Callithrix jacchus: one gene and its partners. The protein of the gene in region 7 interacts with the protein of the main gene of each other region in a pairwise test. Links are inferred from orthologs where the notes say so. Each region holds a gene or a part of one and is shown on either strand. Other genes may lie near its edges. The genes, in order: FOXS1, DVL2, OTX1, FOXP3, ARID5A, RDH12 and RBPMS.

Region 1 (2,982 bases), on a different chromosome or scaffold from region 7:
ATAGCTGTCCTTCCCAGACCAGTCACTAGGGGGCGACAGGGGCTCAGCAGAACTGAATTTCGTGGACTCTCCTTATTACCATCCTAGGTGCCCCTCCCTGCACACACCCCAGAGCTAGGAGGTGGGGTAGGAGTGCTGTGGCCCCAAGGGCTCTGCCCCACAGGAGAAGGCAGTAGACCACAGGCCTGGGAGGAGGAGAGGGAAAAGCGGGAGTAGAGGTAGAGATCAGAGAGGCCCCTGGGGCTTTTCTCACTCTAGGGAGACGGGGCTCAGGCCCTGCCTCTCCTCCTCTCTCTCTATTCACTCCTTTCACTCCTTGTGTTTGCACCTGTGTCTCATTGTGTCTCCTTTCTCTCTGGCTCTGTGGATTTCCTCGATTCTGCCTGCTCAGTGATTCTCACTTTCTCTGTTTAATACATGTGTGTGCTTGTGTGTCTGTGTGTGTGTTTGTGTATATCTGGGTGTCTGTGTGTCTGTGCTTGTGTGTATGTCTATGTGTGTGTGTCTGTGTGTCTATGTGTGTTTGTGTCTGTATGTCTGTCTCTGTGTGTTTCTGTGTGTGTGTATGTCTGTGTGTGTTTGTGTCTGTGTGTGTCTGTGCTTGTGTGTATGTCTATGTGTGTGTCTGTGTGTTTGTCTGTGTCTGTATGTGTGTCTGCATGTCTGTGTGTGTCTGTGTGTCTGCGTGTCTGTGTGTGTGTGTCTGTGTATGTGTCTCTGTGTGTGTCTGTGTCAGTGTGTGTGTGTGTGAGAGCCTCTGTGTCTCTGTTCGTTGTATCTGCCTCGTCTTATCTTTGTCTCTTCCTCTCTTTCTCCCTCCTCTCTCTGTCTCTGTCTCTCTTTTTTCCCTGTCTCTGTTTCATACATTTCTGCCTGTCTCATTTTGGTTTTGTCTCTGGCGTGCTCAGTTTCACATCCTGTCCCTCCCCAGCCACCACCTCCCAGCACACGTGGGCTGAGGGTCTCAGTCCCTTCTTTCCCACCTCCTCGTCCCTGGCAGCTGCTTGGCCTCCCACTACTGGCCTCTCCTGCCCGCCTCTCTTGGCCCTTGAGGGAGTGGGGCGAGGGAGGAGGGGAGGACAGCTCAGCAGACCCACCCCTTTTTGCCTTTCCAGGCTGGGAGGCTGGGCCAGTGGACCTTTTAACCAGCCCGGGCAGGCTGTTTTTGACGCCAGCCCTGGACACGGAGCCTGACCCGCCAGGTCCCGGCAGCCCGGCCAACACAGCCAGCATGCAGCAGCAGCAGCCCCCGCCCGGACCCCAGGCCCCTGCGGCCGAGTCGACCAAGCCTCCCTACAGCTACATCGCCCTTATTGCTATGGCCATCCAGAGCTCACCGGGGCAGCGGGCCACCCTTAGTGGCATCTACCGCTACATCATGGGCCGCTTTGCCTTCTACCGCCACAACCGGCCCGGCTGGCAGAACAGCATCCGCCACAACCTGTCACTCAACGAGTGCTTTGTCAAGGTGCCCCGCGATGACCGCAAGCCAGGCAAGGGCAGCTACTGGACGCTGGACCCTGACTGCCACGACATGTTTGAGCACGGCAGCTTCCTACGCCGCCGCCGCCGCTTCACCCGGCGGACAGGTGCGGAGGGCACCAGGGGCCCTACTAAGCCACGCCGTGGACCCCTCAGGGCGACCAGCCAGGACCCAGGAGGCCCCAACACCACAACCGCCAGGCAGTGCTCATTCCTGCCAGAGCTGCCAGACCACAAGGGCCTAAGCTTTGGGGGTCTGGTGGGGGCCATGCCAGCCAGTATGTGCCCAGCAACCGCTGATGCCAGGCCTCGGCCACCCATGGAGCCCAAAGAGATTTCCACGCCCAAGCCTACAGGCCCAGGGGAGCTCCTTGTGGCCACCGCATCTTCCTCATGCCCAGCATTTGGCTTTCCTGCTGGCTTCTCTGAGGCTGAGGGTTTTAACAAGGTCCCTACACCTGCCTTGTCCCCAGAGGCAGGCATCGAGAGCAGCTACCAGTGCCGGCTGCAGGCGCTGAATTTTTGCATGGGGACTGACCCAGGCCTTGAGCACCTCTTGGCCTCAGCAGCCCCCTCCCCTGCACCACCCACCCCTCCAGCCTCACTCCGAGCCCCACTGCCCCTGCCAGCTGACCCCAAGGAACCCTGGGTTGCAGGTGGCTTCACTGTCCAGGGAGGCTCCGGCTACCCACTGGGGCTGACCCCCTGCCTATACCGGACGCCAGGAATGTTCTTCTTTGAGTAAAGGCAGCCTCGCCTCGGGCAGTCCCTGCAGGGCCCTTGCCAACTACACCCTCTGGGCTGAGCCTGGCTCTAGGATCTGGAGAACTCTCGAAGTCCCCAGCCCTGGCGAGACAAGGACAACCAGGATGAAAATCCAGGATGGAAGCGGTGCTCAGCCAGGCCCCTGAGGCCTCCGGACAAACTTGGGGGTGAGGGGAAGCAGGACCCCTTGGGACTTACTCTGTGGCTCTCAGGGCCAATAAAGCCATGTGATCATGAGGGTCAGCTTGCCTGGTGGCTGAGGACCAGGGTGCCTGGTTGTATGTGGGGTGGCTGTGGCTGGTAAGTTGTGTATTCGGGGCAGAGCCCCCGGGTAGCAATGTCTCACATGAGGTTTTTCTCCTGCTGGGGACTTTCTCAGGGAGTTTCCCAGAAAGGGAGAGGAAGGGGAGGCAGAGAACAAGGGCAGAGAGAGAAGGATACAGGCAAGGGAGAGACTGGGCAGGGGCAAGGCTGGGCTGGCCTGAGCAACCTATTCTCCCGTCTCAGACGCTGGGACTCAACAGCCCCCATAGGAGCAGTCATCATAACTCTGATAATTTGTGACACTGATCCTGTCCTGGGCTTGTATATATCATCTCACCTGTGTGATATGGAACGCTGGCCCCGTTTACAATGGTGGAAACAGGCTCACCAGCTCCAACTCCGGATGGCAAATGAGTGGCAGAGAGGATATCAAAGCCACATCTGTGTGGCTGTACCCTCCAGCCTCTGACC
Region 2 (3,500 bases), on a different chromosome or scaffold from region 7:
GACCACCATCATGGGGTTGTAGGGGAGGGCCATGCCAGGGGGTGGTCCATAGGGATGGAGCCCCGGGTGGGCTCGGAGATTAGGGGCACCCCCACTTGAGCCTCTGGAGGAAGGAGGGCCCCCATCGCCAGTCCCACTTGGTTCCCCACCCCACCGAAGGCTGCCCCCTCGGCTGGAGGGCTCAGACTCGCTGCCACTGCCGGATTTGGACTCGGGGGCCCGCTCCTCAGGCCTCCCTGTGCGCCCTGCCCCCCCATCACTTCGTGTCGACCCACTGCTCCGGCTGCCTGTGGAGGGAGGGGAGGGGAGGGGCAACTGAGTCCTCACCCAGGCTCCTCCCTGGCTCCCCTCTGATCCACCCTCAGACCTGGCTTATTAGGTATCTGGGGGTGACTTACCCTCACTGTGCTGGCTGCTGGCACTGCCCCCACCATAGGTATAAGATGAAAGCTCATGGTAGGGTGGGGGCTGCGGGCTGTAGGGATGTGGGGCTGGGTACTGGTAGGAGAAAGTGGGCAGCAAGGGCCAGGGGGCAGCCCCAGGCAGAGGGGCCAGGGTGTCCTGGTCTGAAGCCCCACTGGAGCCATCGTTGTCATTGAGAGACAGGTTAACTAGGTCTGGAAAGCAAGGGAAGAGAGTAAATCACTGCTTCAAAGAGACTAGGGCCCTAAGACACTGAATGAGAGGAACTGGAACAGTTCTCCCAGACCCACCCACGATGGGGCTCAAAACGGGTTCACAAGGGCCTCTGACAGGAAACTCCCATCTACTTCTGCCATGAGGGCAGGACACAGCCAGGGCCACCACTAGCCCATGCCTCTGCGGGACTCAGAAAGAGGTGCACCTTCCCCCGGTGGACAGTCCTGCACCTGGCGTGGTTTGTCCAGCAGCGCATGGGTGGACGTCAGCCCCCATCCTTGGCCAGTGCAGGACCTAGTTCGGGACACATGCTGCTCAACCATCCATGGTGGCCCTGGCTGCGGTTTCTGGGCTAGGTCTAGGGTTGGAGAGGCAGAACAAGGCAGGCAGAGCCACACTCCCAGAGTCAGGGCAGGGGGACTCACAGCTCTCACAGCCACCACTGAGGTCTCCGAAGATGTAATAGCACTGCTCAGAGAAGGTGATCTTGTTGACAGTGTGTCGAATCAGGCCAGCTTTGAGCAGTCCACTGGCATATTTTCGGGCCTCCCGCCGCTCTGGAAAGCCCTCCACATGATGGTAGAGCCAGTCAACCACATCTGAGCCTGGGGGCACCCACAGTGGAAAAAGGGCTCAGGTTCTCCTTCCAACTCCTGCTCTCACCTCTGCCTGTGCTGTTCCCAGCTTCGGTCACCTCCTCCTCCCCTTCTCCAGCCACCTGCCCAGGACCCAGCCATACCCAGGAAGGCATTAGGGATGGTGATCTTGAGCCACATGCGGTCCCGGACTTCCAGCCCAGACTCTGGAGCTGCCATGGCCTTAGTGACCGATGCCATGTCTGTGTGGATGGAGAGACCCCGGCCCTCACAGCCTGGTGGAGGAGACAATGGGGCATCAAGAGGCAGGGTCACTCCCACAAGGGCCATGGGTCACACCACTTCGGGGCAGCCCTCTGGCAGGAGGGTGAAATGAGGTAGGCTGGCAGCTCACCATCAGGCAAAGAGGATCCTGATGTAATGGTGCTCATGGAGGAGGAGCCTGGGTAGGCTGGGAAGGTGCCAGTCAGAGCCGCGGAGTGGGACACCCAGGCAGCAGGGTCAATTGGCTGGATGGGCTCATCTGGGACAAAGATGGTACCAAAATGACCCCTTCTCAGTCCCCAAAAGCCAGCCCAGTCCCTCCCTGACTCAGCCTCCCGTTCTACCTCTGCCTGGACCTTCCTCCACACATTCCCCATAATCAGAGGCCAGCCCCAGCCACCCCCACCACCAACTTCAGGCCCCTCCCTGAGTGTCACTCACTTCGGGGGAGGGTGAAGTAGGCCTGAGGAGAGGGATCCCAGCACTTGGCCACAGTCAGCACGATGGGGCTATGGGGAAGAGAAGACCAGTCAAGGGCTCAGGGGAAGAAGAGGCCTGGGGTGGGGGGGCGCTGAAGCAAGGATGAATTAAGAGACACAAAGATGGGGAGAAGCCAGCATGTCTCAGCTGGGCTAGGGAAGGTGAGGGTGGAAGGCACCACAATGTGAATGACTCATCAACATGGAAACTCTTAAAAACATACTGCCAAGTGAGACGAGAGTACACGCTGTACAATTCCATTCAAAGAAAGTCCAAAGACAGGTAAAACCGCGCTGTTCAAGGATACATGCAAGGGTGGTAACTATGGAGGGAGGTAAAGCTTTTCTTTGTTGTGGTGATGACCCGGGAAGTCAGCAGAGTGACTAGCCCTGGGGGGTGAGGCATTGGGGAGCAGGAAGGGGGGTCTGTGGAGGGGGATCTAGGGTGTCAGCAATCTCTATTTGATGGTCTAGGTGGTGGCGACATGAGTATTCGCTCTAGTATTATTTGCTACATCACGAATTTGTTTCATGTACTTTGAGTGTTATGTCTTACTCCCCCTTTTTTTTCTTCAGAGTCTTGCTCTGTTGCCCATGCTAAAGTACAGTGGCATGGCAGTTCACGGCAACCTCTGCCCCTGCCCCAGAGTTCAAGCAATTCTCCTTTCTCACTCCCCACTAGCTGGGACTACAGGGGAGCACCACTATACCCAGCTAATATTTTTTTTTTTAAATGGAGTTTTCACTTCTGTTGCCCAGGCTGGAGTACAATGATACAATCTTGGCTCACCGCAACCTCCACCTCCCAGGTTCAAGCGATTCTCCTGCTTCAGCCTCCCGAGTAGCTGGGATTACAGGCATATGCAACCACACCCAACTAATTTTATATTTTTTAGAAGAGAGAGGGTTTCTCTATGTTGGTCAGGTTGGTCTCGAACTCCTGACCTCAGGTGATCCGCCCGCTTTGTCCTTCCAAAGTACTGGGATTACAGGTGCGAGCCACTGCACCTGGCCATTTTTCTGTTTTTAGTGGAGTTGGGGTTTCACCATGTTGGCCAGGCTGGTCTTAAACTCCCGACCTCAGGTGATCCACCCACCTCAGCCTCCCAAAGTACTGAGATTACAGGGGTGAGCTATTGGGCCTGATTGTCTTACCACTTATTAAAATTGCAAAACAAAAAGTTAAAGGGGGAAAAAAAAAAGACTGACGACCTGCAGCCTGCTCAGCAACTCACCCAGGCTTGTGCACAATGTCCCTCAGCACCCGCACGGCGTCATCATTGCTCATGTTCTCAAAGTTCATGTCATTCACCTGGAAGCGAGGGGAAGGGGGTCAGAAGCCGGCTGGGAGAGTATGAGGGCCCCCACACAGGGCAGCTCAATGGCCCTGCCCCAACACACCTGCAAAAGCATGTCCCCTGGCTCAATGCGCCCATCGGCTGCCACGGCCCCACCCTTCATGATGGAACCAATGTAGATGCCTCCATCTCCCCGCTCATTGCTTTGGCCCACAATGGAGATG
Region 3 (3,987 bases), on a different chromosome or scaffold from region 7:
ACTTTTTACTACTCCTGTCGGGGTGAGGGAGTAGGAGATTAGAAACAAGGGGTAGAAATTCCTCGAAAGGTAATAAAGTGCCTAATTTTCAGGAGGAGGTGCCATTTAAAAGATTCGCCTTACTCGGAGTTGGGACGAAAACACTTTTTTTGCACTTTGAAAAGTCCACCCAGGTAGACGCGTTTGGGAAGTTTGTTCGGCTAGGAAATGGGCTTCACATATACGAACAATCCGGGGAAATCGCCTCAAGGAGGCTCCTTACGCAGCATGTGGAAAAAAAGTTGAGGGCAGGGGTCTGTGGCCACATTTTTCATCTAAAAGTCCCTGTTAGAGGGAGACTAGGAAAGACAGAGTGTGAAAAAGAAAGTTTCCTAGCAAAATGTTTGAATTAAGAAATAGGGTGTGTGTGTGAGGGGAAGAGGACGCTGGGTTCCAATGTTTCAGAAGAAGCGCTTAAGACTTGTAAACACCCTTGGTGGGGACTGGGAACCCCGGGAGAGGCCGACGAGCAGGTAAGTGGCGGCGCCCTTCCAGTGGGTGCTCTTCTCAGGCGCGGGAGTCCCGAGGCGCCGAAGAGAGATCTGCGCGCCCGGAGCTGCTCCCGCGCTCTGCAAAGTAGCCTGTGCTGGCACGAGCCGCCCGCGGCGTCGGTCTCAGGTGGCGGCGCAGAGGAAGGAAACGTTGGGGCCCGCGGCGCCGGGAGAGGGGCAGACGCCCGGGCTCTTCTAGTCCGCCGCCCCCGAGTCCTGGCGCCCACATCCGGGCGGCAGAGCCTGGTAGTGCCTCGGAGAGCGAAGGAACCGGTTCTCCAGCACCTCGCGCTCTCCGAGCCACTCCCTCCAGAGCGCCTAAAGCGCGAGAGAAGGGCCGGGGGGCCCAGGGCAGGCTTGGGGACCCGCGGTCCCCTCAGCGGCCAGGACTCCGGCTCTCCGCTCGCCTTCCTCGGCTAGCTCTGCGCCGCTTTTGCCAGCCGAGTTAGCGCGCGACCGGGGCGGGGCGGGCGGGCGGGCGGGGAAGGCGGGGAGTGGGGGGCGGGGGAGGGCGGGGGCGCGCGGAGGTAACCCCCGGCTCGCGCTGCCATTGCCCGGCTCCCTGTCACTCAGCCCGCGCGGGGCCCCCGATTGGCGGCCTAGCCCCGTTACGCACTCGCCTCGCGTTCACATACCCGGGGAGGGCAGTAGAAAGGTGATCAATCTTCATCAGGCTACATTTCCAATCACCTAAACAACCGAGCAAGACAAGCCACTCCGACAAGGTAAATCGCTTGATTTATTTAGTTTGCAAAGTGACTGTGCAGGACTTCCCAGTCCCCACTGCCTCCACGTTGTATCGGGAGTGCCGCGGCAACGCCGAGCCACCTCCCAACTCTGCCACTCGAATTACCCCCCTTGCGGCCCCTCGGCGCGATTCCCGGTCAGGCAATGTCCTGAGAACGCGTGGGGCTTAGCAAACAAAGTGTCTGTGCAATAAAGTGAAACCCTTAGGGACACGCACAAAGCCACTGGAAAAAAAGATAGACGTGGGAGGAAAGAAGTTGAGAAAAGAAAGAAACCGGGGGTCCTAGACCAGCCGCCGGGGTAATTCCTGTGCCGCTCTGTTTTGCAGGTTGGCTGCCCGGCGGGTCTCTGTGAGGGATCCAGGTAGATGGTGAACGGCCCCGGCAGCTGAGGGCAGGTAAGGAGAAAGCCGCGGGGCCACCCGGGACTCCGGGAGCGCGTTGGTTACCCTTACCTCCCCCTCCTCAAATGGATCCTCGCTTCCCGGAGCCCCAGCAGGTGGGCGGGGCTGGGGGAGCGGCCTGACTCCCCTCTGGGTGCGCGGAGGACCCCGGGGCGCTGTCGCGGCCCGCCGCCCCCTCCCCCGCCTCCTCCGAAGTAACCGAGCTGAAGTGCTAAGTTTGGAGAAAGTCTTTGAAAACTCAGGCTGCAGCCTCGCAGAGCCGTCGCAGCTTTGAGTCCCATTTTCCTTTGGCCTAAGAGCCCTGGCTGCTTCCCTTCTCGTTCCCTCCCTACAAGCTGGACTCCTCCTCTGGCCTTGGGTCCGAGAGGACGGGGGCAGGAACGGGGCTGGGGGGAGCTTCTTTAACTCCAACTTCTCTCCCTAAACGTCCTAACCCGAGTCCCTGGCCTGCTTCACAGCGATCCCGCAAAGCGGGGTGTAGCGACGGCCCCCTAGAACCCCAGGCCCACTTTCCAGTGCCCCTCCCTGACCCTTGAGAGTGGCGCCTGGGTTCTCGGCAGCAGCGGGGGCAAGGCTTCGACCTCCCAGCTCGGGTCTGCGTGGGCTCTGCCGCTGAGGCCTAGTTCTCTGTTCTCAACAGTGTCCTGGGGCCTCGGGTTCAGCTACTAGGATGGCAGCATGCAACTTGCTGCCCTCTGGCTTCGCAAATCTCAGAGACCCTTTAAGGTGCTGGGCCCCAGCCTTCACCCCCTGCTGGGACCATGTGGTCAGAAGCCCAGACTGGGCAGAGAGAAGGACGGGTGCGCGCTGGCAACGAAGGGCGATGGCCGCAGCTGAGGCGCTCCTGACCTCAGGCCGCGTCTTGGGATCGCCCCCTCTACAGTGTTCCCTTCAGCGTCCTCTGGCCCTCTGCGGCCTGGGCCCGTTGCTGCGGTTGAAGTGTGGTGTGATTCCGCGTCAGCGATTTTTCAGTGGTTGGGCATAGAGAAGTTAGCTGGAATGGTTATTGTGGGCTCTGGGGCAGGGACGCAGCCCTGGACGCGTTAGAAGAAACCAAGTGTCTAGGTGCATAAGAGGTTGAGGTGCAGTTAGTCCTCCACATTGCCTCACCTTGGCCCTTCATAGTCTCTACCTTTTCAAAAACACTGAAACAAAACGAAACAACCCTGCATGCTCTGGGCGCCCTGCCCCGGGCACCAAGTGAACTTTTGTTTGTGCAACATGAAGCCGGCTTCTGCCGGACTCAGAATTTTGCCTGGACTTGGGAGGTTGTACATTCTGTGTTTCCAGCTCTACCTCCCAGCCTGGCCCTGCTTTTAACTTCTTACTCTATGGACTCCCTACCAGTATCTTTGGCCCATTCCGAGCCTAGAGCTAGAGGACCTAGAAAACTTTACTTTTCAAAGCAACTGTGGTTTCTGGGCTAAGTCCTTGTGGAGGCTAGTTGACCACCCTGCGGAGTTCTGTAACCTGCCTTCCCTGTCTATCCCCGGACAAGACTTGAAAGCCAAGTGCCTCCGACTGATGGTTTCCGTGTGTATCGTGTCTCCATAGGCCAGGCCCCCAGACGCATCAGAGCCTGAAGGACTGCGCAGTGGGAGCCCTGCACCGCTCCTGGCCCCGGGCCCCCTGGATCTGTCGGGGCGCCTCCACCCAGCTGTTAGCATGATGTCTTACCTCAAACAACCCCCATACGGCATGAATGGGCTGGGCCTGGCCGGGCCTGCCATGGACCTTCTGCACCCCTCCGTGGGCTATCCGGGTGAGCACCGGCCTTCCGGCCCCTGCCCAAGACTCTCAAATGTTGGGGACCCTCAGACTGTTGGGTTTGAGTGTAAGCTTTGTTGCCGAGCAGGCCCAGGGAGCCGATTGCCTAATCTGTTTACAGTACAGGGCCCACTGTCGGCGCACTGAGCAGACTCGTGGGCGCATGAGGTGGCCAGGGCTGAGAAAACGCCCAACGTGCGCCTTCCCGGCCGGGTCACCGACAACCTTTCTCCTGTTGTGGTCCCATCGCCAGCGCAGAGCGCATTTACCCGCGGATTTGCTAGTAAGGGGCGGCTGATGATTTTCCTTTTCTCCCAACATGGAATGAGTAATCTGGACACTCGTTAGGCCCTGACCGAAGGAGCCAAACTTTCCTTATGTGAAACGGCAGGTGGACTGAAAAAGGAAGATTCTTTCTCTCGAATTAAATTGTCCTCTAAATCAATGTCCTGCACCCATTTTTGCACTGCTGTAGAGGACGACTTGAGTCAAACCCCGGTTTCTTTTTTAGCTCCCACTCGTTTACACCATTTATTTTCT
Region 4 (3,022 bases), on a different chromosome or scaffold from region 7:
TAACTGCTTTGCCCTGCTACTCCTCATGCCAACATGCCAGCCTTATTCCATGTCTCCAAAGTTCCAGTTCTTCCAGATGGCTGCTGCTGCCTCCTCTCAGTTCCTCCACCTCTCCCTCCCTCTCCCTCTCCTTCTCCCCCCACTGTCTCACACTCACACACACACACACACCCCACTCTCCCTCTCCCTCTCTCTCTCTCACATACACACACACATACCCCACACACTATGCACAATCCTTAGCAGCAACTCGAATGTCCTGTCCTCCTTGTAGCCAGGCTTTGCATAGGCCGTCCCTTCCACTCAGTGTCTTACCCACTCTCACCTGCCTCGCCCCATCTCAGCTCACCACACTTCCAACATTACCTCCAGCACCCTGGCCAGGTGGTAAGCTCAGCCCTGACATGCAGTAGGTGCCAAGTGGCACATGTTGAGGGAATGAGGGGTGTGAGAGGGAAACTGATGTAGAAAGGGGAGGGGAGCTGGAGCTAAGAGGAGAGACCTCCCAGAGGGCCTGCCCCCCCACCCATTCAGAGCGTTGAGCCAGGCCAGCCTTGTCATGGTCACCTGCATGGAATCTTCTCCCTACTTAGGCACTGCCAGGAGGACCATCTTCTGGATGAAAAGGGCAGGGCGCAATGTCTCCTCCAGAGAGAGATGGTACAGTCTCTGGAGCAACAGGTAATTCTGGGGCAGTGGGGGATAGGGGACAGGGGATAGGGAATAGGGATAGTGGGGAAAACCTTCTGTCCATCACCTGCCAGAAACCAAGTTCACCCGGGACGCGGGCTAGTATAAAGGAAGGAAGAAGAGCGGGCACTCCCATTGAAGACCATAGCCTGGGCAAAGATGTGGCAGAGAAAGGCCAGGCTGAGGCCTCATGTTTGTGCCATTTCACAGCTGGTGCTGGAGAAGGAGAAGCTGAGTGCTATGCAGGCCCACCTGGCCGGGAAAATGGCAGTGCCCAAGGCTCCATCTGTGGTGAGCAACCCCAGGCCTGCTGGTGGCAGACTCAGACTGCTGGGGGGCAGGGAGGAGGCCTGCAGGGTGCAGGGAACCTAACCTCACATGCAGGCCCTGAGAGCTAGGGGCCCCTGTCCCCAGCTCCAAACATGCCGGGACCTGGAAATCTATCCCCCTCCACTTGCAAACCCTCTGACCCTAAGATTCCCAAACACTGTGATCCTGAGTTGTCAAAGCAAATGCAAATAGCCAAAGACACAGGCTGTGTGCCAGCAGGACCAGCTATGTAACCTACAGGCCCCTTGTTCAGATTTCAACATGGCAACCACAGAGCATTAAACAAAGCACAGGGTGTCACATAACCACACAGGTCACATGCGCATGAAGCCGCCCTGGGGGCCAGGCACTGTTTCTGAGTGCTTTGCTGGTGGTAATTTATTTCTCAGGATGTCAATATAGAGATTAGGAAAATTGAGGCCAGGGAGGTTTAGGTGACTTTCCCAAGGTCACAGTTGGGTGGCAAAAACCCCTATTCAACCCCAGCTCATGGTCCCAGCATCTGTGGCCACATATGGTGTCTGCACCTGTGCTCTAATAAATACGACTCATGCTGTTTTGTGGGATTCCACCCCAGACTGGAATTAAGAAGAGGGCGTCCTTGTTTTGAAAAACACTGTTTTAAAAATAAAGTAGGGGCAGACGAAGTAGCTCACGTCTGTAATCCCAGGACTTTGGGAGGCTGAGATGGGTGGATCAACTGAGGCTAGGAGTTCGAGACCAGCCTGGCCAAAATGGTGAAACCGCAGCTCTACTAAAAATACAAAAATCAGACAGATGTGGTGGTGGGTGCCTGTAATCCCAGCTACTCGGGAGGCTGGGGCAGGAGAATCGCTTGAAACTGGGAGGCGGAGGTTGCAGTGAGCTGAGATCACACCACCGCACTCCAGCCTGGGCAATCAGAGCAAGGAAAAAAAAATTAAAAAGTGGGAAGTTTAAGCCTTTGGGTCACCAGCCTCTTCCCCTCCCAGGCATCATCTGACAAGGCCTCCTGCTGCATTGTAGCTGCTGGCAGCCAAGGCAGCATGGTCCCAGCCTGGTCTGGCCCCCGGGAGGCCCCCGACAGCCTGTTTGCTGTGCGGAGGCACCTGTGGGGCAGCCATGGAAACAGCACATTCCCAGGTAAGAATGGTCCTTGCACTACACAGTGTCCCCAAGCTCCTAATCCTGACCGGCTCTGGGAGGAGGGTGCAAAGGAGCTCCATACTGCCTCTTCCCACCACCACCACCACAGCTACCACCACTCAGCCTTTGGGAAAATGCATCCGCTCACAAAAGCTTCCTCTCAGGATGTCCGTGACCTAAAAGCCCCGTATAGTCTCAAGTGTCCTGCCATAGCCCTGTCTCCGTTGGGGATTGGGGTCATGCGTCACCCACTCTGAACTCCAGCTACTCCATTCAGTCATCAGAAGGGAGGGCCCTGCTAAGGAATTACAGGGACACCTCCTTTCCTCCCCTGACTAAGGAAAATGGGATGGATTCACCTAAGCTCACCAATCCACTGCTCTCCACCAGGCCTGGCCTCTGGGCTTAGCAGGGATCAGAGACCTTGACTGGCATCCCAGCTCTGCCATTTAACCTCTTGCATCCCTTTGGTGTGCAAGTTACTCCGCTTCTTTTCAACCTCAGGGAGAACTACTTTGGCAGAAGTGGTGCAAAGAATAAATTAAACAACTTATGTCAGGTGCTCAGCAGACAGTACCTGTGCCCGTGGACACGGGTGTTGATGGTGGGATCTCAGGCCTGTAGACTCACCTTGTAGGGGGAGGGGAGAGGGAGCTAGCTAGGGGGTCCTACATGGGGCCTGATTCATCCCCACCCTCTGCCAGAGTTCCTCCACAACATGGACTACTTCAAGTTCCACAACATGCGACCCCCTTTCACCTATGCCACGCTCATCCGCTGGGTAAGCAGAGCAGCTCAGCCCCAAGGAGGAGGAAGAGAAAGACGGGGTGGGGGACCTGCCTCCTGAACTCCTGTCTCTCTCTGAGTGCCCTCAGAG
Region 5 (4,109 bases), on a different chromosome or scaffold from region 7:
AAGAAAGACCTGTTGATACCTACTGAGATTCATTTTAAAAAACTACCTGTTACCTGAGAGAGTAGGGGGCCAGCTCTAGCCAGGGCTCAGCCAACCTGGCAAAGGGGAAATATGCAAAGGCAGGAAGGTGAAGGCAGTGGGGGTGGGGGGCAGTGGGCAAAAGTCACTGAAGACAAACTTAAATGTCTCAGGAGGCTTAGCCAGGACTAGAAGGTAGCTATGGGACTGGGCAGTGGGTGGATGTGGGGAAGTCAGCTGGTCCCCTGCCCTGGCCGACATCAGGCTGGAAGCAGATGAGAGTAGACCAAGAGGACAGATAGGCCAAGGGGCTCTAGCAACTCATGGCTGCACTTCTCATCAAGTTGGTCACTGCTCTGTATCTCAGTTTCCCCATCTACAAGATGGGCATGCTAGACTCAAAGCACCCAATGTTCTCAGCAGAAGAAACCGAGAAGAGAAAGGAGGCTTCCCCCACAAACCACAGTCTGCCTGTCCTGCTCCCTCCCCAAGGCGCCTCACTGCCGAGCCGGTGCTCCGGAAACATCAGCCTCCTGGGTGCAGCAGGATGAGCGCACTGGACTTACAGACTCCTGTTGCCCAGAGAGGGGCAGTGACTAAGTAGTCCACGGTGACACAGCTCTCAAGCTTAAGGGTCTGCTGGAGGCACACACCTCTTTCCTTCTATCTTTCCCTCCCCACTTTCTGCTGCCCGCCCCACTCACCCAGGGTGTGATGGGAAGGAAGTGACACTTCCTTTCATGAAAAGTCACGGACTGGGAACACTGCGTCAATTACCACAATAATGGTAACAGCAGCCTCAATAACAACCGGCAGACTCCGCCCCACCCCCTCGGCTGAGGTTGTTGGCTTAAGTTTCTCCGAGCTTGAGCTGGAGCGAAACAAAGACAGCCTTTGAAGCCGAGAAGCGGCGGGTCCACTCGGCGGCTGGGGAGGGGCGGCAGGCCAAGTCTCCGCGGAGCTTGCTCTGGCAGTTTGGGGAGGGGAGGCCTGCCAAGGGCTGAGCTGAAGCCAGCAATGAGGAGAAACGCGATGGACCTGGGCCCACCCCCATCCCCACCAGGGCACAGGTGCAGCTCAAGCCACAGCCCAGCCTCAGTACCTCAGCTTGAGGGAGGGAGAGAGAGACAGGGTCTGGGGGCAGCTGAGGTCACAGGAGCCACCAGAGGGTAAAGAAAGGGAAGAGGGTGCGCGGGACACTGAATGTGAGGCTACCAACTTCCAAGCCCCACTCTCCCTGTCCCTCTTACCGGGCTCTGGGATGTCCTAAAAGCCCCTATTCCAGGATGGGGCTCAACCCTCACTGTCCCGCCCCACCGAGTCTCGGCCACGTTTGGTGGTGACTGACAGTGAGAACTCCGCAGGTTTCGTGTGTTCCCATTGCACCTACGGGGGGCAGAAGCTCAGAGGTGCCAGGTGACTTCTCCAAGATGTCTCCCAACTGTAGAGGCAGATTCTCGGAGGCCCTTTCCGTCTCTGCCGCGTCAAGTTCTAGGCCCCAGGCGGGTCCCTACGGCCTAGGTTGGGCTCTGAGCTCTGCTGTGGGGTGAAGCCCTCGAGCCCCCATTTCCCACTCCTCCTGTGCTCTAGCGTTGCCTGTAGTCACAAAGACGCCACCATGCGTGTGGGCTTCCACCAACGAGGCCTGGGTGGGGCGAGGCACCTGTTGTCCTCCCTTGGTGCCCGCAGAGCCCTCCTTGCTGGCCCAAGACTCTGCAAACAAAGGGGCACTGGCCCCGCAGTGCCTCGGGACCCCCTGGGTCCTCGGGAGTCCTTCATCCCGAAAGCCCTACCACGCCGGCGCGGAGTGGAGGGTGACGCGACCCTGGCCCAGGCGACTCCTGGACACCGCTGAGTGACTGTGTGCGGTCCCGGGTTGCCCCGCAGCTCGGGCCGAGCGCGAAGCCAGGAATCTCCCGCACGCTCGAAGCCTGCGCTCCTGCCCTCTTCTCCCTGAGCTCCCCGGCCGCCAGCCCGTCCCTTCTCAGACCAAGGGAAGGGAAGGGGACACACTCGGGACAGGAGAGGAGAGCAACCAGGGAAGCGACCCCTCTCCTGCGGGGCTGCGATGGGTGCGCGGAGAGACCCGAGAGGAAAAGAGAGAAAGGACAGGGGGCGAGAAGCCGGGCGCCCCGGACCATCGGCGCAGCCCGCGGCCGAAAGAGGAACAGTCGAGCCTTCAAAGCGCATTGAGCAAGTTCTTCACACCCGCTCAGCCCCTTTCAGGAAACGGCGGCCGCAGAGGAAAGCGCCGCGCGCCCTAGACCCGGCTCCTGTGCCCCGCGGCGCCGCGGTTCTAAAACCCGCGGGATGTCACGGGGCGGAGGGGTGGCTGCCGACAGCTGTCACAACAAATTAGCTGAGCCCAGCTCGAGGTGGAAACCGCAGCAGGAAGTGGGACTACAGAGACGTACCGGGCTAGGCACATTTCAGGCAGGAGTCGGCGAAAAGAGTTTCGAGATAAACGCCCGGGAAGCCCCTGGCCGCCGAAACTTTTTGTCTTTCCTTTTCTCGAAGCGCGAGCGGACGCCCAGACTCACCCTTTCCCCGCCGGCCGGGGGGCGTTGAAACTATGGGCCAGGCTTGCTCCCCGGGACCCGCGCCCCTCTCCGCCCCCCACGGCGCCACCGACGGCGACGAGGATTGGGGGGACCCGGCGCCACCGCCTTGGCCCTCCCTGCAGATCCTGGGCCGTCCGCAGAGCCACTTACCCATGGCCCGGCGAGGTCCGGCGGCGCCCGCCCAGAGACCCTCAGCGCGTAGCCGTACGGACTCGACGCTCCTGTAGCTACTGGCTCACGGTGCCGCCGGCCGGTCGCCTCCCCGCAGCCCCGCCCCGCCCCGCCCCACTGTGGGCTCCCATTGGTGGGCCCGGCTCCTTCGTACCGGGACCGCCCCCGGAGCCCAGGGACCTCTGGGAGTTGTGGTGCGCGCCCTCCCTTCCGAGTAGGGCCCCTAGAATAGGCTCCTTTCCTAGAGGGGCAGAGGCAGGACTCCCAGGAATCATTGCTGCCTTGTGCCTCAGTTTTCCCGGAGGCAAAACTAGAGTTTGGATAAATCCTCCTTGCTTTCAGTAGAGCACTGAGGTCTACACAGTAAGTTTTGCTTACTGTGGAGTAAGCAAAGTGCTTTTGACTTTGATTTGAAAGTGACCCTGTGCATTTCCCACTTCCCACCCAGCCCAACATAGAGGGCCAGGTGAGGCCCGGAGCAGCGGCTCACGCCTGGAATCCCTTCGCTTTGGGAGGCGGAGGCAGAGGCGGGCGGCTCACTTGAGCCCAGAAGGTAGAGGCTGCAGTGAGTTTTGATCACACCACTGCACTCTATCCTGAGCAACAGATGGAGACCCTGCCTCAAAAACAAACAAACTCAAAACAACAACAAACAGGAGAGGTGGTTAGTGTGAGTTAGACAAGGACCAAACTAGTAAATCCTTGGCCTAGGCTCTGTGGCTAGGCCCGCCAGTAATAGTCAATGTCCACATACCTAATGCAGAGTGGAAGCTACAAGCTGAGCAGTCCAAAGAGAGGGCATGAGTTCAGGCTGTGGGAGGTGGGAATGAGGCCTAGGGTGAATGGAGGCAGGAGGAGGTGCCCAGCCAGACATAGCAGTAACTTGGACCTGTGGGGGCCAAAGTGGAGGAAACAGTGGGTCAGGGTTTCAGTCTTAGCAGGTGGCTAGTTAGGACATGAACCCTGTTCCTAGCAGGGACAGGGTTCCCTGTGTAGATTTTGTGTAGAAGCTACACAAAAATCTTTGTTGATGAATTTTAATACGCTCTATGCACTTGACACCATCACTGTCCTCATTTTATAGGGTAAAACTGAGGTCTGCTAGATTAGCTCAAGTAACACAGCTGGTAGGTCCTCATTTTATAGGGTAGAACTGAGGTCTGATAGATTAACTTAAGTAACTCAGCAGGCAGGTGTTGGAGCCAGAGCTAGACCCAGGCATCCCCCCGACTCCCTTTGCACCCATTACTGACCACTCGTCATGCTGGTGCTCCTCCTTACACTAAAGGAGCGGACCAGGGATGTAGTTTGGTGAACCTGAAATTCTGACCCTTATCCTTTGGCCCTGGGCTGGAAGAT
Region 6 (3,500 bases), on a different chromosome or scaffold from region 7:
TACTGTGGCTTTAGTACTACTAATAAACATGACAACATGTAGTGAGTAGTATCAATTATTGACAGTGGTATCTTTACCATTTCTACAGAAGGAGTTTAAGGATAGCAATCTGATTGGAAGGTGGTGGGTAAGACCTTATTTTGAGCTGATTTGCCTGGCAAGCACATTTTATGAGGTATAGATTGAGGGATAGTGATGCAGATTATGGGGGATTAACAAACCCCCTAAGACATCCCTGGTGCCATCACTATTTTTCAGTACCTATTATGTGCAAGCGCTGTGTAACGTTTTAAATGTATTCTCTCATTTAATTCTTAAAGAGGCTTGTGAAGTAGAATATTATGATGCCCATTAACAGCTAAGGAAACTAAGTCACAGAAAGTTTAAATAAATTGCCTAAGGTTATACCTGGCAGGCTGCAGGCCCAAGGTCTGATCAATAATGTAAAGTTAAGAATATGGAATCTAGACCTGGACTGTCTGTATTTAAATCCTGGCTCAGCTAGGAACCTTCCTTGGGCAAATTTCTTAATCTACCAGTGCCTGTCTTTTCATCTGTAGAGTGGGGGGAAATGATAGCACCCACCTCACAGGAATGTTGAAAGTATTAAATTAATTAAGATGTGTAGTGCATGGCACACATAAACCTCTCAATTATTGTCATAATTTTTTTATGATTACCATCTTCTACTACCTTGGCAATGTTCCCAAACTCTGATTTATCCACTGTAATAAATGGTCCCCTAGATCCACATATGTCAGAGCCACCAGCTCACCCAGTGCTCCAGGGGAGCACAGAATCATTAAGGAATAAGAACTGACCTGACCTGATTTTACAGCTGAGAAGATGAAGTCAGGGGAGGTTAAAGGAACTCGTCCACATCCACCTGGGGCTAGCATGTGGTAGGGCAAGATCTTGGACCCAGGGGTCTGAAATCCAGCCCCAACTCCCTGAGTCCAGGCAGTGGCAGCTCTGTAACTCAGATCACAGTGTGGACCTCAGCAAATGACACCCAGATGGAAGCACCCTAGGTTTAAAGCCAAGCACCCATGTTCCAGTTCTGACGCCCTCACCTGCCATATTCTCTTTAGTAGGCCATTTCCTTGGACCTCAGTTCTTCTCTATAAACTAGTAGTAATAATACCTGTTACAAAACTCCTCTGCCGCCAGATCACCTGAGGTCAGGAGTTTGAGACCAACCTGGACAACATAGTGAAAGCCCATCTCTACTAAAATTAACCAGGTGTAGTGTCATGTGCCTGTAATCCCAGCTACTCAGGAGGCTGAGGCAGGAGAATCGGTTGAACCCAAGAGGCAGAGGTTGCAGTGAGCCAAGATCGCACTACTGCACACCAGCCTGGGCGACAAGAGTGAAACTCAGTCTCGAACAAAACAAAACAAAACAAACAAAAAGCCTCTGTCTGTTGCAAAAAGCTATTGTGAAAATCAAATGAGATAAGAGATAAGATGTGACATAAATGTAAGGTAACTTCATGAGGTTCTTAACCCCTATTTGATTTTAAGCTTTCTGTGGGCAAGGACTCTGTTTTTATTCCATTTATAATTCTCCTTAATGCACAGAACTATTGCTGACACATGCATGTTTGACAGCCTGACTTCACAAGTTTCTGTGGACCTCTAATCTGGTCTGAGGACCGTTTTTGCTATTTTATTTTATTTTATTTTTTTTAATTTTTTATTGGATTATAGGTTTTGGGGTACATGAGCAGAGCATGCAAGACAGTTGCGTAGGTACACACATGGCAGTGTGCTTTGCTTTTCTTCTCCCCTTCACCCACATTTGGCATTTCTCCCCAGGCTATCCCTCCCCCGTTTTTGCTATTTTAATCCTGACCCTTTCTCCAGACTTACCTTGGAGTCTCTTGGCCAGCTCACGAGTAAAAAGCACATTGGCCAGCTTGCTGTGGCAATAGGCAAAACTCCTGCTGTAGCGCTTCTCACTCTGGAGGTCATGGAAGTGAATATTGCCAACGTGATGAACCACCGAGGACACGTTCACCACCCGTGCAGGGGCAGACACCTTTAGCCGCTCCAGGAGCAGGTAGGTGAGGAGGAAGTGGCCTGTGAAGAGAGCCAGCAGGGGAGATTGAAGGTGGAATGGCAGCCCGGGCTCAGCGTGTGGGAACTGAGAAGACTTCAGTGTCAGCTCACTTCCTTCTGGGTGTGAACCAATTTTGATGCCATGAGTAACACTAATGGTCAGTTTGGTCTGAGTTTGTGGATTCCTCAAAGCAAGAGCCAGAGCTAGACTACAAGTAAGGCAATCATACTTAATCAATATTACTTTGTACTTCTGCCCTTGACCAACCTGCTGGCTTTTAACTCCCCATCTGGCCATGATAGCATAACTAGGGACCCAGGTACACTTGTGTATAGACAGAAAGATGGAACAGTCAGGGAAAATAACATTAACTTAGGATCAGAAAACATGTTCCATGCTCTCCTCCCTAAAGTCTTCACCTTGAACTCTGCACCCCAGCCTGCCTCATACCTCAAGTTCTCAAGGATGGCCTACCTCCATGGACTAGCCAATGGCTTGGTTGGCCCTCAGAAAGATGTGACCTCTTCAGTCAAGCCCAGATCCCTGCATATCTCCAGTCCTGGCCCTGCCTGGCAAGCCTTGTACTGCCACTTCCCATCCAAGAATGACATTCCTCTCCTTGGTATTTCCTGAAATTTGCAGCCTCTTAATGGTATGGGTAGGAGGATCTCACTTTATTAGACTGATCAGGAGAAGGACAGTGAACAACACGTCAATGTGTGTAGTCTATTGGAATTCCTAGGCTCTATGAGGGCACCGGGACATTCTCCACATTTACACAGGGTCATCTTCCTAAAGAAAACAAAGCAGATGTGCCTCATTTTTTAGTCACCCAAAGATACTTACCCAGGTGGTTGACTCCCAGGTGGGTTTCAAAGCCATCAGCTGTCTTGGAATATGGACACATCATCACTCCCGCATTGTTGATCAGAACATGGAGCTGCTTTTCCTCTATAGGGCACAACCAATGAGATCCTGTGGTAAGTGAGGAGTCCCCTGGCTGCCTGTCACACTCCTGCAAAATTGTTCCTTGCCTCCAGTTGTCTTTACTGGAGTAAAATTTTGATAGGAGTCACTTGCTCTGCCCCTTCCTTCTAAGACAAGGTGTTGCCTCAGCAGTCAATAACTATCCTCCATTTGGACCTATCTCAGTGACATCCAATAAGCATTGTCATTGGGTTTCTAATGAGTAATTTTAGTTACTTATATCTTCCTGGACATTGTTCCTTCATTTATTTAGCAAATGTGTACTAACTACCGACTCTGGGCCAGGTGCACTCTGCTGGGCACTAGGAATCCAGTGGTAACACAAGACAGACATGGTTCCAGGATGTCCCTCATGGATTTCATAGTCCTTGGAAGAATCTGGTCATTTTCCAAGATCCAGAAGAACATGCCAGCAGCACAACTTCATCTTATGCCTATGGCCACAGAAGGT
Region 7 (3,500 bases):
TTTTTCTCTAGTGAGAGGCTATTAAGGTGACTCAAATTTGGTCAACACCATTTTCTGTGTCTCTATATAGGCTCAAGGTTGAAATCTTTTTAGGGGAAAACAGTTTTTGTCATTTTGGGCTGCAGCTGCCCCTTAAGTAGGCAGCTGTGGTCAGAGGAATAAAGGCGCAGAACACAGACATTGGCCCCTGAGTACCCTTCCCAAAGAAGAAGGCTTAGAGGGCAGTAGCCATCTCACCCAGCTTCTCTTCGTGGGCCGCTCTAATGGTGCGATGTCTGATCTGTTCCGGTCTCTTCACTGAGTCTGTCTAATTTCTACACCTCTAGAGTTACCGCCAACCACTGTGATTCTCAAATGTGCTCCCTGCACAAGCAGCATCAGCATTACCCTGACTTGTTTCAAATGCAAGTTCTTAGGTTCCATCTCAGAGCTACTGAATCAGAAACTCTAGCAAGTCCTCCAAGTTGATTCTGCTAACATTTGAGGATCACAGATCTACTATATAAAGGTGATCATATTATCCTCCCATTTAAAAACCCTAATGGCTCAGCCACACACGCACTCCAAAGTCCTCACTCACAGCATAAGAGGTCCCATAAGAGGTCCTTTGTGATTTCACCCTAGCCTGTTTGTTCTGCCACCCCACCCCACTTTCTGCATCCTGTTACTGAGAAATTTGCTGAGCTCTTTCCTGAACTGCACCTGGTAAACTTTTACTCTTCCATCACTTCCTCTGGTGCCTTCCCTGGCTCCCTGGCATGAAACTGCCCTGGTATACTCTTAAGTATACTGGACTAACAAAAATACATTGTTTCTAAGCAGTGTCCTTTATCTCTCAGAGTTTGTCCTGGGTGGGGAATTCAGTCTCTGTAGATTATATGGAACCTGGGTCAGTTGATGAGACTGTTGGCTGTCCCTGTAGCCAGTCAGATTGAGGTGCTTGTAAGTAACTGTTTATTTGCAAATTAATATATTGATACTCAGAAACTGTCCTTTCTGGTCCATGTAATAAATAGGACACCATTTACATATTGTTACGAGAAGAGTAGTGGATTATGAGCAAGAAAGGAAAAGGTTGGTTTTGAAAGACACAGGTTCACCCTTTCACTTGCCAGTAATCTTATCCTGACAGCATGTAATGTTAAGTAACTGCAGCCAGAGAAGAATCTTAGTAGGCTTTAATTAAAAACACAAGGAATGTTTTTTCTTTTGTCTCTTCTTCCTGTCTGCCTTTCTTTCATCTTTTCTTTCTTCTCTTATTCATTTCCGTGTTCTCCCTTCTCCTGCCCCTCTCTCTCTCCTCTTCATCAACTCATAACACTTAAAATGTTTTTGGCTTGGCTAATCCCTATGGATGGAAACTTAGCTGAGCAGGATATTGATTACCAAATATGGTATTGCTGCTAAAGATGTTAGAGGAATGTGGCTTGTATTCTGAGCCTCTGGCCTCTGAATAAGCTGCCAAACAAATTAGGTCATTTTAACTTCTGAGCTTTTTTTTTTTTTTAATAAGGATGCTGGAACTTTGATTTGGAACACTATGTTGATGTTATTTTAGCTCAGATGGGAGGAAGGGGGTAAAAAGAAGGGGACAGGGAGTGAGGGAAACTTAGTTCAGCCTGTTTTAGGACTTGAGCCACCAGCCCAGGTTGTGTAAGAGACAAGTACATTATGCGGAGCTTCAGTTGATTCTGGAACACCAGTGAAAGAGCTGAGGCATGGAATTCGCATGTGCAGCCTTGTTTTCTGAGGCTAGACACTCTAGAGGACCACGATCGGGTCCCAGGATACTCCATGTTATCCCCAGTGGCCTGGGCCACATGATTCATGGTCATGCGAGCTCAGATTTAGGAAGTGTCTTCTTCACAGGAAGGTTGGTCAAGTTTAGTGCCAAGGGAGTATGCCCTGAAGTTGATGGGAAGTTGCTATTATGTGTATCTGATGGAGTGTGGTGCAAATGAGCAAGTCCTTCCACAGCATACCTGTACATGACACCCAAGGACTGTGCTTGTCTCCCAGCAAAGACCACAGTTCTGCAGGTCCATTCTTGGAAAGATGTATTCTGTGGTGTTACTAGCTTTGTTAGGGTGGAAGTTGGTCCATCTCAGTGAGGTCCTTTGTGACTTCCCCCAGCCTGCTTCAGAATGCAGCTTTGTTTTTTGGTTTTGTTTTTTCTTGTATACTTTTTCGGCAAAATAATATTGAGGTTTCCCAAATTTAAAAAGAAAAAAACGCATACTACCAACACCAATTTAAGAAAATTTGTTTTTATGTTTCACAAAATGGACACTGTCTTTTTTGCTTTTTGGTGCTGATTAGGTATGCACAAGGGTATTCTCCCCAACCCTTTTGCTATGGCCCTCAGTGCTCATGAAGAAATCCCACCCACTCCAGGACTTCTGGATCAGGGCTCTGTGGCTTTTGTTAGGCCTTTCTAAGGACCTCTTTTTCCTTCCCCTTGCCCACTTATTTCCTCTTGATGCCATTACCATCCAGCCACAGGCTCTTCCTTGTATGTTGAAGCTGAGTCTGTGAAGTTCAGAGTTGTTCATCCTGGTCTCTGGAGTAAGAGAGTCTTATTTTTGTGGATATTGCTCTTACTTTTCTTGAAGCTCATTAAGAAGAACGGTGGGGGGCAGGGGATGCTTTGGAGCCCACAGGCCTTTTTGTGTACATTCAGAACACTAGATGGCAACTGTGTTAATAGGAGACTCATTTTCAGGACTCCAATCCCTTTCTATGGTGATATAATCATGGGAGCTGAGTGGGTCCCATGGGTGCACATTTAAAATGCAGTCTATTTTGGATATCTTTCTGATGCGTAGGGTCCAGAATTCATGTTATTGGATGCTTAATAATGAAGGTATTCTTGAATGGTGGAATGGTTCCAGTTAGACTTCTCTTGCCCTAACTTGTCCTTCACAGTGTTTGTGATTTATTTTACTAAATATGATGTTTTAGATAAACTTTCAGGAATAGAGTCAAAGGTAACTTAAATTCCTGTACATTAAGATGTGTAACTGTGCTAGGAATTTGCTGGTTCAAATTTTAAACTGGAAACCTTTTGTCTAAAAGGTGGGTATTGAAAATCTGTGTAACTAAATTTTTTAAGTAAACTAAATCCCACTGACTTTTGGGATTCTTTGTGTTGTCGTTTTTCATGTGACCTGTGTAAGTAGTAAGAATGACCTTTTTTCCTGATAGACCAGGTTTACTGGTGTTTATTTTGTCACCATTCTGGTTTGACTAAAGAAATGAAAACATCTTCCATTTGTTCTTTATTTCCAAAGGGCATCCGCTTTGATCCTGAAATCCCGCAAACACTGCGACTAGAGTTTGCTAAGGCAAACACGAAGATGGCCAAGAATAAACTCGTAGGGACTCCAAACCCCAGTACTCCTCTGCCCAACACTGTACCTCAATTCATTGCCAGAGAGCCATGTAAGTCAATCTACTTTTCATTTAGAAATAATAACAACTAAGAATTGTTCATGTGTTGC

The links.
Region 1: the proteins of RBPMS (region 7) and FOXS1 interact in a two-hybrid assay, tested with the Homo sapiens proteins (2 studies listed by BioGRID and IntAct). The link is inferred for Callithrix jacchus from reciprocal best matches to the Homo sapiens genes RBPMS and FOXS1.
Region 2: the proteins of RBPMS (region 7) and DVL2 interact in a two-hybrid assay, tested with the Homo sapiens proteins (2 studies listed by BioGRID and IntAct). The two-hybrid records come from large-scale screens. The link is inferred for Callithrix jacchus from reciprocal best matches to the Homo sapiens genes RBPMS and DVL2.
Region 3: the proteins of RBPMS (region 7) and OTX1 interact in binary tests that used the Homo sapiens proteins (3 or more experiments, as listed by UniProt). The two-hybrid records come from large-scale screens. The link is inferred for Callithrix jacchus from reciprocal best matches to the Homo sapiens genes RBPMS and OTX1.
Region 4: the proteins of RBPMS (region 7) and FOXP3 interact in binary tests that used the Homo sapiens proteins (3 or more experiments, as listed by UniProt). The link is inferred for Callithrix jacchus from reciprocal best matches to the Homo sapiens genes RBPMS and FOXP3.
Region 5: the proteins of RBPMS (region 7) and ARID5A interact in binary tests that used the Homo sapiens proteins (3 or more experiments, as listed by UniProt). The two-hybrid records come from large-scale screens. The link is inferred for Callithrix jacchus from reciprocal best matches to the Homo sapiens genes RBPMS and ARID5A.
Region 6: the proteins of RBPMS (region 7) and RDH12 interact in binary tests that used the Homo sapiens proteins (3 or more experiments, as listed by UniProt). The two-hybrid records come from large-scale screens. The link is inferred for Callithrix jacchus from reciprocal best matches to the Homo sapiens genes RBPMS and RDH12.

What each region holds. Positions count from the first base shown.
Region 1 is NC_133506.1:7,351,260-7,354,241, forward strand, and holds FOXS1 (forkhead box protein S1), read left to right. Parts: upstream 1-1,167; 5' UTR 1,168-1,231; coding exon 1,232-2,227; 3' UTR 2,228-2,482; downstream 2,483-2,982. UniProt on the Homo sapiens protein: Transcriptional repressor that suppresses transcription from the FASLG, FOXO3 and FOXO4 promoters. May have a role in the organization of the testicular vasculature.
Region 2 is NC_133506.1:73,717,465-73,720,964, forward strand, and holds part of DVL2 (segment polarity protein dishevelled homolog DVL-2), read right to left. Parts: coding exon 3,380-3,500; intron 3,291-3,379; coding exon 3,214-3,290; intron 2,009-3,213; coding exon 1,941-2,008; intron 1,759-1,940; coding exon 1,630-1,758; intron 1,511-1,629; coding exon 1,379-1,510; intron 1,245-1,378; coding exon 1,065-1,244; intron 618-1,064; coding exon 399-617; intron 288-398; coding exon 1-287.
Region 3 is NC_133515.1:51,066,383-51,070,369, reverse strand, and holds the start of OTX1 (homeobox protein OTX1), read left to right. Parts: upstream 1-1,187; 5' UTR 1,188-1,255; intron 1,256-1,605; 5' UTR 1,606-1,674; intron 1,675-3,234; 5' UTR 3,235-3,345; coding exon 3,346-3,442; intron 3,443-3,987. UniProt on the Homo sapiens protein: Probably plays a role in the development of the brain and the sense organs. Can bind to the BCD target sequence (BTS): 5'-TCTAATCCC-3'.
Region 4 is NC_133524.1:49,792,928-49,795,949, reverse strand, and holds part of FOXP3 (forkhead box protein P3), read left to right. Parts: intron 1-593; coding exon 594-681; intron 682-900; coding exon 901-981; intron 982-1,991; coding exon 1,992-2,142; intron 2,143-2,849; coding exon 2,850-2,926; intron 2,927-3,022. UniProt on the Homo sapiens protein: Transcriptional regulator which is crucial for the development and inhibitory function of regulatory T-cells (Treg).
Region 5 is NC_133515.1:6,485,628-6,489,736, reverse strand, and holds the start of ARID5A (AT-rich interactive domain-containing protein 5A), read right to left. Parts: upstream 2,801-4,109; 5' UTR 2,734-2,800; coding exon 2,730-2,733; exon of another isoform or gene 2,209-2,729; coding exon of another isoform or gene 2,129-2,208; intron 2,128-2,128; coding exon of another isoform or gene 2,006-2,127; intron 2,004-2,005; coding exon of another isoform or gene 1,676-2,003; intron 1,675-1,675; coding exon of another isoform or gene 1,605-1,674; exon of another isoform or gene 1-1,604. UniProt on the Homo sapiens protein: DNA-binding protein that may regulate transcription and act as a repressor by binding to AT-rich stretches in the promoter region of target genes.
Region 6 is NC_133509.1:102,737,844-102,741,343, reverse strand, and holds part of RDH12 (retinol dehydrogenase 12), read right to left. Parts: intron 3,014-3,500; coding exon 2,909-3,013; intron 2,083-2,908; coding exon 1,873-2,082; intron 1-1,872. UniProt on the Homo sapiens protein: Retinoids dehydrogenase/reductase with a clear preference for NADP. Displays high activity towards 9-cis, 11-cis and all-trans-retinal. Shows very weak activity towards 13-cis-retinol.
Region 7 is NC_133514.1:31,650,394-31,653,893, forward strand, and holds part of RBPMS (RNA-binding protein with multiple splicing), read left to right. Parts: intron 1-3,290; coding exon 3,291-3,441; intron 3,442-3,500.